Kluyveromyces lactis: one gene and its partners. The protein of the gene in region 1 interacts with the protein of each later gene in a pairwise test. Links are inferred from orthologs where the notes say so. Each region holds a gene or a part of one and is shown on either strand. Other genes may lie near its edges.

Region 1 (2,951 bases):
AGGAGGAAATTAGTGTTTCCGATGCAGATTTCAGCGAGCTTTTAGAAGAAGATAATAATAATGATGAATCCATAAGAGCACTAAAGGGAGTTGAAAGTAAGTTATATGGAGACGGTTTGAGCGTTGAAGCAATTGTTCAGGAGCTTTTGTCCAGTGCTACTGACAAACAAAATTTAGCGACAATTTACATGGGATGGTCCCCATTTTATTAAGATTGATGTGTTTGAAGTTCTTACTCGAGATGAAGACTTTATTATACTACCAGCACCTGAAGCGATTTGCAAGCAGTATAATTATAAATAATAGCATATTCATTAAATAGCATGATTCATTCGAAGCAAGTATTTGCGTGTTAATGAAGAATTCAGTAACTGTGTTGATAAAAGCACTTGAATTTTTCGCGAATAAGGTTGATAAGCCGGTTGTTATTGCAAACTGTGGAAATAATATAATATAAAAGACGATACACAAATCAAATGTTTAATGATACAAACTGATGGGAGGCAGTAATAAAATCAGTGTGATTTCCCATCCAAAAGCTTAACGTAATTACTTGGGATAATCCCTGTTTCCCCGTTTGACTTCTTGGCTTTCCACCATCTACCCTCGATATCACCAACCCTGAGAATTTCGCCCTGTTCGAAGGATATTTCATACGCGTCAGTTTGGTCCGCTTGATAGGTATATAAAGCCTCTGCAGTGTATGGGAAACTGTTTAATTCTTCACCAATGTCACTGTATAGGCCTAATGTGTCTCCCATGGTAGTATCTGTGTTGGCATTGGTGGTATCTGTGATGAAAGTGCCAGTGGCCTGTGTATTCAGTGTAGCAGTATTTTGCGCATTAACATCAAGGTTTGGTTTCGAAGAGGAATGATCTGTATTTTCAAATCCGTTCAGCACTGTAGACGACACATACTTTGTAGACGATTGAAGTTCTGGCGCATACATGTTGCCACTGTGGCCCTCACCTTCGTCATCGTGGTGGACATCAGGCAGAGATGCTGAACGCAAGTCTTCCTGGTATTGGTATGGGTAAGAAGGTTTGACCGGCAGTCTCTGCGATCTGGCAATAGCCATGGATGTCTCTAGCACCGAAGGACGAATTCCGCGTAGTGAGAACGAATCGATCCATCTATTGGTTGGAGATGCATTATCTCCACCAAAATAAATCACCCACACCAAATTGATCATGGATAACAAGATAAATCCTGCTGCTGCTGCACCACTCTTGGACCCTTCATAGTACACAATACTGTTAGTACTATTCGAAGTATATACGAATGCGATACCAACAGCACAAGTAATGAACATTCTATAGTAGTCAACTAAATCCAAACAGTACACGATAAAAAGCGTAATCATTAGTAGTATCTCGTAAACTATAGTCCACCAAGAAAATCTTGGGAATGGAGACGTAGATGCTGCAACAGCAATGGATCCCGCCAATGCAATGATCCATGAGATCAATGCAATACTAAGTGTGCCTATGGCAAAAGGATCGCCCAAAAATGACGAGATGTTAAATTGATGAGATACATGCGGATTCTCCCTTACAGCACGGGCTTGACTTGCTTTAATCAACGCCATCTCTCTGTTTGCAGATATTCCCTTGCCTCGCTGGACTATTGGAACACTTGTGACAACACAACAACTAAAATTGAAATAAACTTGCTTCAAGTTCAAGTATGTTCGTATTGATTACTTTTTATATTTATGTATATACGGTATACATTTATCATTTTTTTTGGTGTCTGTCTACAATGAGAGATGAGTTATTTTTTGATCATGTGACAGGCAGCAACCAAAGGCTCGCTAGGAATACGCGGGCCGCTTATTTAGAGTGTCAATCGGGAGTACAATTGGTAGCAGTATCAATGGTTAGTCTCTAGTACCCTGTTTATCCTGTACCCTCAATGTGTCGCATGTAGAAATATGGTAGCACTTAGTGAAGTTATCATGACGATGAATCCCCAAATAGCAAGTAACAATGAGATAATTCTCAAGATTCGTTCTTTTGCTGGTGGTACAACGGATTTGGCGTACTCCGATGCGATTAACTTGTAGCCAAATATTCCAGGTAAGATGAAGGATATAGAAGTGGATCCGGTTGCTCCTACTATTGACAAAACGTTTGCTAGCGACGTAACACTCATAGCGAGGATGTACGAAAATAATAGGATTCCAGACGTGATAAAGATGAATCTAGGGCCTTCTAACGTTACTACTGGAGGCTGATTAGCGCTGTTTTCTTCAATTAATTCGTCTTCGCATTCGTAGGTTAACTGTTCGCTAGATTCGAGTTCAGAGTCCCGTAATAGACTGTTTTGTTCTGCACTTGTGGTTGTCATTGGGGGATGGGTGTTCCCCTTGGAGAAGTAATGTAAGATATGATTGACAGATGCTCTAGCTGGATGACATTGTAGCGGGAAGGCAAGGATCACTAACAATGCTATAGCTATTCTACCGATGGTGCTGGAAATGGAGTTTGGGTATAAGGTGATAATGTTACCAGTAATATGATCACCGAAGGTGCAATAACCTAGCGCTCCAATGGAAATGTACAAAGACATTGCTAGCGTAATGGCAATCCTAATCAATTTCGTTATACTGTCTAAAGATTTGTCTGATTGTTCATTGATGATGGAAAACATGTTGTGATGGCAAGTATACGCGAAAACGAAAATTGGAAAACTGCTTAGCATGGATGAATCCACATCACTGGGTTTCCAGATGCTAACATGGCCTCTTAAATGGTCGATTTCGCTATTTGGAACGGCAAAATGGAAGACAACTAATACGCATAAGTACCCAACTGCTGTAATTGCAATGGAAGAAGTGTACCTTAAAGAGTCTAACTTCTTAATGAAACACAACGGTGTCACGATGATCAACGTAACTGCAGTGATGTGAAACTGGCGTGATAAGAGCCACCCATGGGTTGTAAACGTG
Region 2 (3,744 bases), on another chromosome or scaffold:
GAGAGATAGCACACGCACACAGGTAAGTACTGTTATGGTAGTATTAGTAATTTTTGATATCTTGTATTTCTGGTGACCAGTTTAACACAATGATTGATAGTTGCATTACTGGTACCTCATCCTGCCATTGTTGTGCCCTTTATATACCAGAAATCACAAAATATGACATCGAGCTGGACCCCAGCACTTGTTTCAAACATTCCAAAGCATGTAAACAAACACACCACAGAAAGCATTCTCAAACACTTGCTCCTGCTCACTGTTTATGTTTACTCTGTTTCGTTTCGTTTTGTTTCGCAACATCCAAAAGCTGTTCCTGTAATATGCTAAAACATAATTTCGTGTCAAAAAAGTGCCTAGGAAAAAGAATTCTTTTTGGAAGAGTTTTACGCTGGACTAAAGAGAAGAAAGCATTTACGTTTAACGTAACTGTAAACAAGACACAAAATGTAAACCCAATCACGCCGCCTGTTGTAAACTATTTCACATCATAAGCACGCAATCCAAACACCGTCCACCTGCAAAAAAAAACCATCTTTCGATGTTTCTCCCTCTGATCTCTTCGAGCATGTAGCTGTTGTTTACCTTTTGAATACCGCATGCTGGTTGCCAAAAAAACCCAGCATAAAGCGATCAACACGTACAAAGTGATTCTGACTTTTGTCAGATGCTGCAGTGCCAGACGGTTCCTGGGTCAGGACAGAAATTCTTCTGCCATTGTGCCGCTGTAACCACGTCCACATGCGTCGGCCAGATGTATCAGTAAACAGAACTCTTAATTTTTCTCCGTATTATGTTCGAATGCGTGTTCGTACTGAAATGCTTCTTGTCTTTCCTGTACCTTGCAGTGACCTAAATGGGCACACTGTATTCCCATTTACAAATGGTCTGTTAGTACTTTTGAATTCAATATGGCAACTTGAACAAACCCCATTGTGTAAAGGTCCTTTTTTTTTTATCTCTCTCGCAGTTCTGTTGGTCCCTTCTTCTTTCACTGAATCACTCTGTGAATTATAGGGGAATAATGCCGTATTAAGAATCGCTTCAACTTTCAATATTGAAAAATTGAAAAGTTGCGAAATGTTAAACAGACCGAAAACTTAAGAACCGTAAATTATAGTCAGCCAAACCCCCCCACTCCCTAAAGTGCATCGCGCGTTTGTGTTATTTTCATTAGAACCCATCGGTAGCTGCCTCCGTCAAGAATTGATTTCAAGTTGAACGAGTTTACACTTCTTTTGAGAAATTAATAATCATAAAGCAGTTGTTTCCGAGTATACTATGGGAGGCTTGAATTCTGCTGAGAAAGAAAAGGTTAAACATGCTTTGCCCAAGGCTTCTAACAAGATTATAGATGTTACTATCGCTAGGTTATACATTGCATACCCTAATCCAGAGAAATGGGTTTATACTGGCTTATCTGGTGCCATTGCATTGGTGGACGATATCGTTGGTAATACTTTCTTTTTGAAGTTGATCGACGTGCATGGGCATCGAGGTGTTCTCTGGGATCAAGAATTGTACGTGAACTTTCAATATAACCAGGATCGTACTTTCTTTCATACCTTTGAATTAGAACAATGTAACGCCGGGTTGTTATTCACCGATATTGGCGATGCTTCACATTTTTTGAAACGAGTACAGAAACGGGAGAAATACGCGTCCAAGAAGACCTTGGCCAACAAGAATGCAATTGCATTAGAGGACCAAATTAAGAAAGAGGAAGAGAGTAAAGTGATCCATGGTCCAAGAGGCGAATCCTTGATCAGTGACCAAAGGGTCAGATATAGATATGAACCGGAAAAGCACGAGCACCGCCAGGAACACCATTACGAGCAGCCCAGCCAGAATTATGCTTCAACTGAAAACTCAGCTTCAGATGCAAGTGCCGCTCCTCCTTCTTTTGCCTCGAAACCACCGCCACCGCCTGTCGAGAAACAACCTCCTCCTCCTGTGAGCATCCCATCTTATAAGTACGACTCTATTCCATCATTCCCAAGCTCTCCTGCACCTCCATCGGTTTCCTCTACTCATTCTCCTACCCCGGATTCATCCTATGCATCAACACCAGCACCAAGTAATCCTCCTCCACCAATAAACCACCCGGTACATGCAGTTCCTCCTCCTTTACCAGCAGAACAATATCGTCCACTGGCTCAGTCACCTCATCCGCAATTCCAGCAGCAGCATAATTCTCCTTCACCTGCAGCACCTCCTTCGATTCCGCCTATGCAGCAAAGCGTTGCAATCCCTCCTCCACCTTCCCATCCAGCTCAACAACAAAACGTCACTAATAACAACACTCCTCAGTTTGGACAATATTCTGTTGCTGGTCTGCAACCACCTCCGAGACCAACTTCAACGAGACCTGGTATTGCTCCTCCAGTTTCGAGGCGTGGTCCGGTACCACCTCCCCCTCCAAGACGCTCAGCTGCTCCGCCGTCCATTCCTTCAAGAGGTCCTCTACCTAATGCTCCAACTGGCGGTCAGCATAGTCGTACTGGAAGAGGGCCTCCACCACCACCACCACCTAGACGTGGTGGCCAGGCTCCTTCTCCACCTGCAAGCAGAGGTACAACTCATAACTCAGCCATCGGCCCTCCCCAGCCCCAGCTTCCACCACAAATGCAATCTCCTCCTCTTCAACAGCATAATACCTACAATGCAGCGCCTCCTGTTCAGCAATATCAACCACCACAGCAAACCGCATACATTCCGCCTCCCCCTGTCTTACCACCCCACTCAGGTGTAAGCACTCAGTATCACCCATCGACCGAGCCTATGTTAGCCCAACCCCAGCATCATATAGCGGTACCTAATGGCACTGCACCTCCCCCAGCACCTCCTGCCCCTCCGGCACCTTTTGCTCCACAGATAACGAACTCAGCGCCCGCACCACCACCACCTCCTCCTCCTCCTCCAGCCCCTGCATTTAATCAACCTGAAGCAGGATCTGGTTTTGTTGAAAATACTGGTGATGCTGGAAGGGATGCCTTATTAGCATCGATTCGTGGAGCTGGTCTGAATTCCCTCCGTAAGGTGGATAAATCTCAACTTGAAAAGCCAAGTCCTTTGTTACAAGAAGTTCGTAGTGATGCGCCGGTATCTCAACCCACAGGCGGGTCAACTGGCGGACCTGTTGGTGCTCCTGCGTCCTTGGCTGATGCCCTAGCTGCGGCTTTAAACCAAAGAAAGAATAAAGTTGCTCGTGACGATGATATAGACAACGGTGATGATTGGTGAAAGTAATTCACCCTACTTGAACTGCATCTGACTAGACTGTGGAATTATGATTTGGTATTTGTATGTACGGTGTACCTATATATTACTTTCAGATGCCTTTAAAACAGAAGACAGATAAAACTAAACTAATTATTCAAAGAACTCCACTTATTTGACCATACCTGTATCCATTTCAACTTGGACTCATCTGAACCGTTTAGCTGTGTAATAATTTTTATAACTTTCTTAACATCATTATTGATAGCAAGTACTGATGTTTCCACTTCTGGATCTACTTCATATTCAGCGTTCACTAAGGTGGATGAAATTAAAGTATCAGAGTTAGAAACTATTGAATTGTGGAGTTGATTTAGCTCAGATAGATATGCTGCTGTAGTTACAGTATCCTTTTTTATGGTTATCGATTTGGATAATGAACTCAACAAGAGCTTAAGGAGACGAGATTTTTGCGATAGTGATTTGACAAATTCAATCATGGATTCTGAAGCTTCCTCTTCCTCT
Region 3 (4,013 bases), about 590 kb from region 1:
TGAATTTTGTCTATTGGAATCACGGAACGATTAAGAAGTTGCCACGATAATACGGAAACTAGACTATATAACAAACTGAACAACCCAGTTCGCAGAAGTCGCTTTTTATAAACTGAGAGGTAAATGAGCTGCTATTTAATTAAAATCTTGGCTCTCACCGTTCACAATTAAGATCGTCTCAGTATATCGATGGTTCGGAAATATACCTGACTTTTTATTGTTCTACTAGAAGCTGTGAAATTCCTTCTTAGTTTTCCTCCCTTTTTAAGGTTATCCATTTCAATACCCAGTTTGACACTTTTTTTCTACTCTCACTAGAGGGCCTTCTATGTCAACGCAAGTACCGCGTACACGTAGTCCATACAAAATGAGATGGACAAGAATCGCTGCGCAGTTTTTACATATATCCACCTGATACTGATTAGTAAAATGTATAACATGCAATCCGTGCGGCCTTTCTACTTATATAAGAAATTAATTTCTCTTTCCTAAGTATATGCGAATTTAGAGTAGTACAACTAGAATGGGTACATAATTGCTATCTTTTTATAGGAAATCTCGAAAATAATGACACACATGGACTTGCTGTCAACAATACAACCAACATATTAGTTTGTAACGCATCCAACTTGTATTTTTATCTATTTAAGCTCATTACACTGAAAATGCAGTAGTGGGCATTCAAAAATAACAGAGCCAGAAAAATGAAAAAATTACAGCCGGACATGATAGTCAAATACAGGTCATCTGGCATATTTCTTGGTATAATATATAAATACTGTATAAAAAGAACAAGGACAGAGTTTTTGAAAATTTTGAGAATTAAAGGACGTTCAACTCAATCGTATTTAAACGGCAAGGGGGTAACACGAAGAACTTACTTGAGCAAACATAAGCAGCTCTGTTGCACTGTTCGGTTGAAAGATTATCATTTTTGCTGTAATACTAAGAGCTTTTAATAACCGCTTTAGAGATAACTTTTTTGAGTGTAGTACGCATAAAATTGTTTTTGTGATTGAAATTCTTCTATTCTTTCATTTCACTAGTTACCTCAGCTCACTTCGTTCCATACAGCACCATAAGAATATCTTATTTTATTCGTGGGCAAGTACGAGCATTTATCCTACCCTCTTTGGTATACCTACCTTGTTGATTCCTGACAAGCAAGTACTTTCTCTTGATTGTTTTGAATACTATAAAGCGGCTAAAATAATGTCAGGTTCAAATTCGAATTCAAATCTAGATGCAATAAGTGATTCATGCCCATTTTGGCGCTATGATGATATTACAGAGTGTGGAAGAGTGCAGTATATCAATTACTACCTTCCAATAACATTGGTAGGCGTTTCTCTCTTGTATTTATTCAAAAACGCGATCCAACATTATTACAGAAAGCCTCAAGAAATTAAGCCTAGTGTTGCTTCCGAATTATTGGGCTCAAATCTCACAGACCTTCCGAATGAAAACAAGCCTTTACTATCGGAGAGTACACAAGCATTATACACTAATCCGGATTCGAATAAGACAGGATTCTCTCTAAAAGAGGAGCATTTCTCTATAAATAAAGTTACACTTACGGAAATTCATTCCAATAAGCATGACGCTGTGAAGATCGTAAGGAGAAACTGGCTTGAAAAATTAAGAGTGTTCTTAGAATGGGTTCTATGCGCCTTACAACTTTGCATCTACATTTCAGTCTGGTCGAAATACACTAATACCCAAGAGGATTTCCCAATGCACGCATCTATCTCAGGTCTAATGTTATGGTCTCTACTCTTGTTAGTAGTGTCATTGAGGTTGGCAAACATCAACCAGAATATAAGCTGGATCAATTCAGGACCGGGAAACTTATGGGCCCTTTCATTTGCATGTTATCTATCACTATTCTGCGGATCCGTTTTGCCATTGAGATCTATCTATATCGGTCATATCACAGATGAAATTGCATCAACATTTTATAAGTTGCAATTTTACCTAAGTTTGACACTATTCTTGTTACTTTTCACCTCTCAAGCGGGAAATCGGTTTGCCATTATCTATAAAAGTACACCAGATATAACACCGTCTCCTGAACCTATTGTGTCGATTGCAAGTTATATCACTTGGGCATGGGTAGATAAATTTCTTTGGAAAGCGCATCAAAATTATATCGAAATGAAAGATGTTTGGGGTCTAATGGTGGAAGACTATTCCATTCTCGTAATAAAGAGATTCAATCATTTTGTTCAGAATAAAACCAAGTCTAGGACATTTTCATTTAACTTAATCCACTTTTTCATGAAATTTATCGCCATTCAAGGTGCCTGGGCAACAATTTCGTCAGTTATTAGTTTTGTTCCAACAATGTTGCTCAGACGTATTTTGGAGTATGTTGAAGATCAATCAACTGCTCCATTAAATTTGGCTTGGATGTATATTTTTCTTATGTTCCTTGCCAGAATTTTAACTGCCATATGTGCTGCTCAGGCGCTATTTTTAGGGAGAAGGGTTTGTATCAGAATGAAGGCTATCATAATTTCTGAAATCTACTCCAAGGCTTTGAGAAGAAAAATTTCTCCAAATTCCACTAAGGAGCCAACTGATGTCGTTGATCCACAGGAATTAAATGACAAACAACACGTTGATGGAGATGAAGAATCAGCAACCACTGCAAATCTTGGTGCTATCATTAATTTGATGGCGGTGGATGCTTTCAAAGTATCCGAAATATGTGCGTATTTGCACTCCTTTATAGAGGCGATCATCATGACCATTGTTGCATTATTCCTTTTATATCGGTTAATAGGCTGGTCTGCTTTAGTTGGTAGTGCAATGATTATTTGCTTCTTACCATTGAACTTCAAACTTGCCAGCTTGTTAGGGACACTCCAAAAGAAATCCTTGGCAATCACAGATAAAAGAATTCAGAAACTAAACGAAGCTTTCCAGGCCATTCGTATTATCAAATTCTTCTCTTGGGAAGAGAATTTTGAAAAGGACATACAAAACACAAGGGATGAAGAATTAAATATGCTTTTAAAAAGGTCTATCGTTTGGGCTCTTTCTTCTCTTGTTTGGTTCATTACCCCCTCTATTGTCACATCCGCTTCTTTTGCAGTCTATATTTATGTGCAAGGCCAAACTTTAACTACTCCGGTAGCATTTACTGCACTATCTCTATTTGCTCTACTAAGAAATCCGTTAGACATGCTTTCTGATATGTTGTCTTTTGTTATTCAATCCAAGGTCTCTTTGGATAGAGTCCAAGAATTTTTAAATGAAGAGGAGACGAAAAAGTATGAGCAATTAACCGTATCAAGAAATAAACTTGGGTTGCAAAACGCTACTTTTACATGGGATAAAAATAATCAAGATTTCAAGTTAAAAAACCTAACTATTGATTTCAAAATTGGGAAATTAAACGTTATTGTAGGTCCAACTGGATCTGGTAAAACATCATTGTTAATGGGATTATTGGGTGAAATGGAGCTATTGAACGGAAAAGTTTTCGTCCCTTCGCTCAATCCTAGGGAAGAGTTGGTTGTAGAGGCCGATGGAATGACTAATTCAATCGCGTACTGCTCCCAAGCTGCCTGGTTGCTAAATGATACTGTCAGGAACAATATTCTATTCAATGCGCCTTATAATGAGAATAGATATAATGCCGTCATCTCTGCGTGTGGTTTGAAACGCGACTTCGAGATCTTAAGCGCTGGTGATCAGACAGAGATTGGCGAAAAGGGTATAACACTTTCTGGTGGTCAAAAACAAAGAGTCTCGTTGGCCAGATCATTGTATTCTTCATCAAGACATTTGCTGTTAGATGATTGTTTGAGTGCCGTAGACTCGCACACGGCCTTATGGATCTACGAAAATTGTATAACAGGCCCATTAATGGAAGGAAGAACATGTGTATTGGTTTCTCACAATGTTGCATTAACTTTAAAAAATGCAGATTGGGTTATCATTATGGAAAATGGTAGAGTAAAAGAACAAGGCGAACCAGTAGAATTGCTACAGAAGGGGTCCCTTGG
Region 4 (4,266 bases), on another chromosome or scaffold:
TGAATCTCATCGTAAGAAAACAGATCACAGAGACATTGTAATTGAAACGCCTGTTTTTCGTTGTGACCCATATGATTCTGGAATGCCTTCACCAGCGAGGCAACCCAGTGTTCTCGTTCTTCCATGGTTGAGGTTGAAAATGTATGAGATTCGTTAGACGCAGTATTCCTAATCTTGAATGAATAAGAAGATTCTTCATTATCGTCATTGTTTAAAGTAGCGTTGGTAGCAGTTTGGTATATCGTCTTCGGTATAGAGCTCATTGTTGTTCCAGCAGGTAAAAGTGGAGGCTTCTTTGACGTAGACGGCGTTTGGACATTGCAAGATTCTTCATCAGCATCTGACAATGATTTTCTTTTATAGTTAATGTCCTCCTTTGTTTCAACACTCAAATAATCAATGGGTATGGGTCTTTCTATTAGCTTATATTTCTTCCCTGATCCTTTGAATATTTCTTCAGTGATCAGAAAATAATTGTCCAATAAAAAGACATAGACAGGGGCACTCTCAAGCCATAGTTCTCTTTTCTTCTGTAATATACCTTGCATTATTAGCTTCCTGTCACCGTCCCCTAACTTTAAATCAAGATGCTCGTTGTTTGTAGTGAAATTTGACACGGAATCATTACCAGACTGTATGTTAAGGTAGTTGACAGTGTTGCCTGTCTTAGATGTAAAAATCAATTGACGAGCTAGTCTGACTATCTTACGTTTATCTATCGCATCACCATGGGCTTTATCTACTAATCTTGATAGTTGTTCAATCTCTTGAATTGCCATACGTAAGTATTCGTGATCATCCATTGATGGATCAGTACACTTCAATACAGATCTGAGTGTTACTGGCATATTTTGTAAAGATTTGAAAAATCCACCAAAAAAGATAACGTCGTGGTAAAGTTTAGATCTGGTTATTGGAGTTGACTCATCGATTTGCCTCAACCAAGATGCAAACCGGGTATTATTTTCCTTTTCCCAATTGATTATTTCGTGGACAGTAGCCATATTTTGCGCATACTTCACATACACCTGTTTAGCATCATTTGCCCACTTTAAATATATCTTGCCAACTCCATCAATGAATTTACCTTTTATTTTAAGTTTCCAAAGGATAGGGCTCAAAAGAATATCCTTATGTAACTCTATCAATGGAATGAATATATCATATGCCATCGACTTAAAATTTGGGTCATCCGGTAAAAGAGCCGGATCAAAAGAGGCCCCATATATCTCTACTGCTGCATTAGCGAGGTTTAATGATCTTTCCTCTAGCACTATTAGATCAAATATGAAACTCTGGCGTTTAACTTCCTTAGGATTAATCTCAGATAATTCTTCGGGAGTCAATTTCCAGTAATCGGTCCATAGCCCCACTGACTTGTTGATGAATTCTGAGATTTTAAGCTGTGACCTGTAATTCTCTGATCCTTTTGAGCTCCAGCAGGTGTATGAATAGCACTTCAAATCCGTAGTAGGATCATCATATATATGAGAATAAGAGTAACAGGGCAATAAATCCGTAAAAACCCCTTGAGTATCAAGCCCCGCAATGATGATGGTGATTTGGTTCCCAGTTTCCGGATCGTCTTCGAATCGCACAGCACCTTGTAAGATAAGCGATTCAATAATTTTGTCCACGTTCGAATCAATGATATCTTGCTCGCAAGAATTTGGTAGCTGGAATTCCAACAGTAATTGAACAATTTGAAAGAATTCCAATTTACCGAAAACGTATTCATTAAACCATTCGAAGTATACTTTCAAGAGCCACTGGTATATGTGTGACAATTGGCTAATGTTGTAGCACTGGTAAAGTTTTCTTTCATCCAAAAGGTCGATCGTGAAGGGGTATGTTGGCACTGTAATGCTAGCCACATTATTCAGTGGTTTACTCCCAGTGATTGAACCGAACGATTCATGTCTAGCATATTCTTCCACGTTTTTATTGAAAGCGTAGCTCGAATTGGAATAATAACTACTGATTGAGTCTGAAAGTCTTGGTTCATTAGGCCCTATTGCTCCATTACTAACATCTTTCATCTTCGGAGGTTGTGGATAGTATAAAGTTGTGTTTTGTAAACTACTTTTATCCGAAGTGGACCAGTTGAAATTTCCTGTCGATATTGGAGAAATGGCATCCAGCGCAGGGAGCGTTTCTGGAACTGCCATATCATTATAACGGTGTTCAACGGGCCCCGTAAACTGCAGTGTACTACTAGATGTTGCAGTAGTCTTTGTTGCCGCGTTAATAGGGCCGGAGAACGTTCGTGGGGGTAGTGCCGGCAGAGCTTTCATTGTGATATCTTTCGAATCCGAACTAGCGAACCCTTCAAACTCAATATTTGGCATCGTTACATTATTGGTGAATATACTTGAAGTTGAAGAAGAAGACAGCCTATTATTATTATAATTATTATTATCTGATTGTGAAGCTGGACTATCGCTATTATTGCTGAAACTGCTATTTGGAAGAGTTTCAGGTGACCGAAACACAGATGGATCACCAACGAAAGGCGATATATACACTTTCGGAGCAGGCGCCCTCTTTTCACTCACACTTACCTCTGTGACAAAAGGAGATGAATAAAGGTGCTGTTGGTCAATCTGAGGCTGCTGCTTTTCACTTGATCTAGACGGTACGACGGTGAAAGATGATCCAGATGTAGGAGTCACAGGGCTCGTCAGTATTGGAGGAGGAGGCCTCCTCCTCCTCTCATTATTCCCAACTTTCTTGGGAGTAGATTGTTGACTCTGCAAAGGCGGTAACGCCGGTAATCTAGGAGATCGTTGTGTACTGTCCATTACTCAAAATGATACTGTTGAAATGAATTGCAATACTTTGATAAAGGTAAACTTGTATTCATAAAGCCAGAAAGTGAAAGCTTCGTGTATATAAGCTAAATTGATACGCGAGTAGCAACGAACGCAGTGGGAGATATCAGTTTGGGGCCTTTCACAATAAAGTATTCATCTGTCCACCCCATCATCTATTTACATAGTAGCTACAACATTATATTTGTTAATAACAATAAGTTGTTCCTACGATTTGTCGTTACCATTACAAAGGGAAGGGAAGCAAATTGAAGAAAACAGAAAACTGCAACATCACAGTTTCGAACGGTTAACTACCTGTTTCTTATTTGTTTCCCTTCTGTTTCCCTTTCTAATTGTTTCTCACTTCCTATGTCGACGGCTGAACGAAAAAAGATGGAACCCCGAAACGTTCGCCCGGAAACCGTCGTTGCGAAGCATAATTACTGCTCAGAAGGAACTCTCGACGAATGCATCTCCAGAACTGTACGCTACTGAGCAGGCTATTGGAAAGACGTTAATATGAAGGTTTGAAGGGCTTACATGAATGTGGGACAACGGAAGGCACACCTGGGGCTCCCTTTCTTAGCGTGAGAGAGGATGATGCAATTTTGTGTCACGTGAATCATTTCTTTTTCTCATAGTTCCTACGTACCTGACTACAACAAAGTAAGGTTATCATTCCAAAAAGATGACAGCTTTTTCAGTTTGTGATTTCTCGAAATGATTACTACGAGTCATATCAGATGCCATAAGACATCTGCTTGAAAGGAAAGTGCACATTCTGATGTCATGCCTTCTGCAATCGAATCATATTCTACACACAAAATATGTATCAATATCTGCAAGGAATATCTTGTATGTGGTTTTTGGATATATGTATTATCAAACTAAAATAACAAATTAAAACAATTCCTGCGGTTTGAAATAGGACTCTAAACATGACTGAAATTGATTTATTGTTGTGTATCGTCGTAATTTGAATTGAATGTCAACGGGAATTGTATAACTGCGTATTGATTCGCCAATCGTAATAAATAAGTGGACATTGTTTTACTTTTTCGTAAATACCTGCGTGATATTTGTTTTATCTATTCTGGCGCGATTTAGTTTATATAATATATGTTGGAATATTCATTTATAAATTATCATTAAAGAAACGTTCATTAAATAATATGAGTCTTTATGGGTTCGAATGGCAAAAGTGAGATTGCTCTTTTCATTCCTCTAAGAATTGAGTTGGTTCATGTGGGACATATACCTCACGGTATAGGTTATCGCGAGGAACATTGACAGTTCTACCATGGATTGTAGATAGATCTAGGTATTTTTCGGATAATTGGTCTATACTTGTGACACCGAGTAATCTCATCGACATTTCCAATTCGTCCTTTAATAGCTCAATGGCTTTCTTGACACCTTCTTTACCGTAGCAACTGTTAGAGTATAAGAATGG

What was found.
Region 2: the proteins of SHO1 (region 1) and LAS17 interact in binary tests that used the Saccharomyces cerevisiae proteins (3 or more experiments, as listed by UniProt). The link is inferred for Kluyveromyces lactis from reciprocal best matches to the Saccharomyces cerevisiae genes SHO1 and LAS17.
Region 3: the proteins of SHO1 (region 1) and KLLA0_E00529g interact in a protein complementation assay, tested with the Saccharomyces cerevisiae proteins (2 studies listed by BioGRID). The link is inferred for Kluyveromyces lactis from reciprocal best matches to the Saccharomyces cerevisiae genes SHO1 and YBT1.
Region 4: the proteins of SHO1 (region 1) and TUS1 interact in binary tests that used the Saccharomyces cerevisiae proteins (3 or more experiments, as listed by UniProt). The link is inferred for Kluyveromyces lactis from reciprocal best matches to the Saccharomyces cerevisiae genes SHO1 and TUS1.

What each region holds. Positions count from the first base shown.
Region 1 is NC_006041.1:628,415-631,365, reverse strand, and holds SHO1 (osmosensor SHO1), read right to left. Parts: upstream 1,590-2,951; coding exon 516-1,589; downstream 1-515. Other genes in the region: DNA-binding protein kinase TEL1, read left to right, coding at 1-212; AVT5 (amino acid transporter), read right to left, coding at 1,913-2,951. UniProt on the Saccharomyces cerevisiae protein: Plasma membrane osmosensor that activates the high osmolarity glycerol (HOG) MAPK signaling pathway in response to high osmolarity.
Region 2 is NC_006039.1:433,439-437,182, forward strand, and holds LAS17 (actin-binding protein LAS17), read left to right. Parts: upstream 1-1,281; coding exon 1,282-3,243; downstream 3,244-3,744. Other genes in the region: KLLA0_C04752g (uncharacterized protein), read left to right, coding at 90-494; KLLA0_C04796g (uncharacterized protein), read right to left, coding at 3,369-3,744.
Region 3 is NC_006041.1:41,325-45,337, reverse strand, and holds the start of KLLA0_E00529g (uncharacterized protein), read left to right. Parts: upstream 1-1,212; coding exon 1,213-4,013. UniProt on the Saccharomyces cerevisiae protein: Vacuolar class C ABC transporter which regulates the translocation of phosphatidylcholine to the vacuole lumen, the release of lumenal calcium stores, and acts as a negative regulator of vacuole fusion. Exhibits ATP-dependent bile acid transport.
Region 4 is NC_006040.1:221,453-225,718, forward strand, and holds the start of TUS1 (Rho family guanine nucleotide exchange factor TUS1), read right to left. Parts: upstream 2,802-4,266; coding exon 1-2,801. Other genes in the region: CYB2 (L-lactate dehydrogenase (cytochrome)), read right to left, coding at 4,030-4,266. UniProt on the Saccharomyces cerevisiae protein: Guanine nucleotide-exchange factor (GEF) for RHO1 that stimulates the exchange of RHO1 GDP-bound form into GTP-bound form. Required for signaling of cell wall defects to RHO1.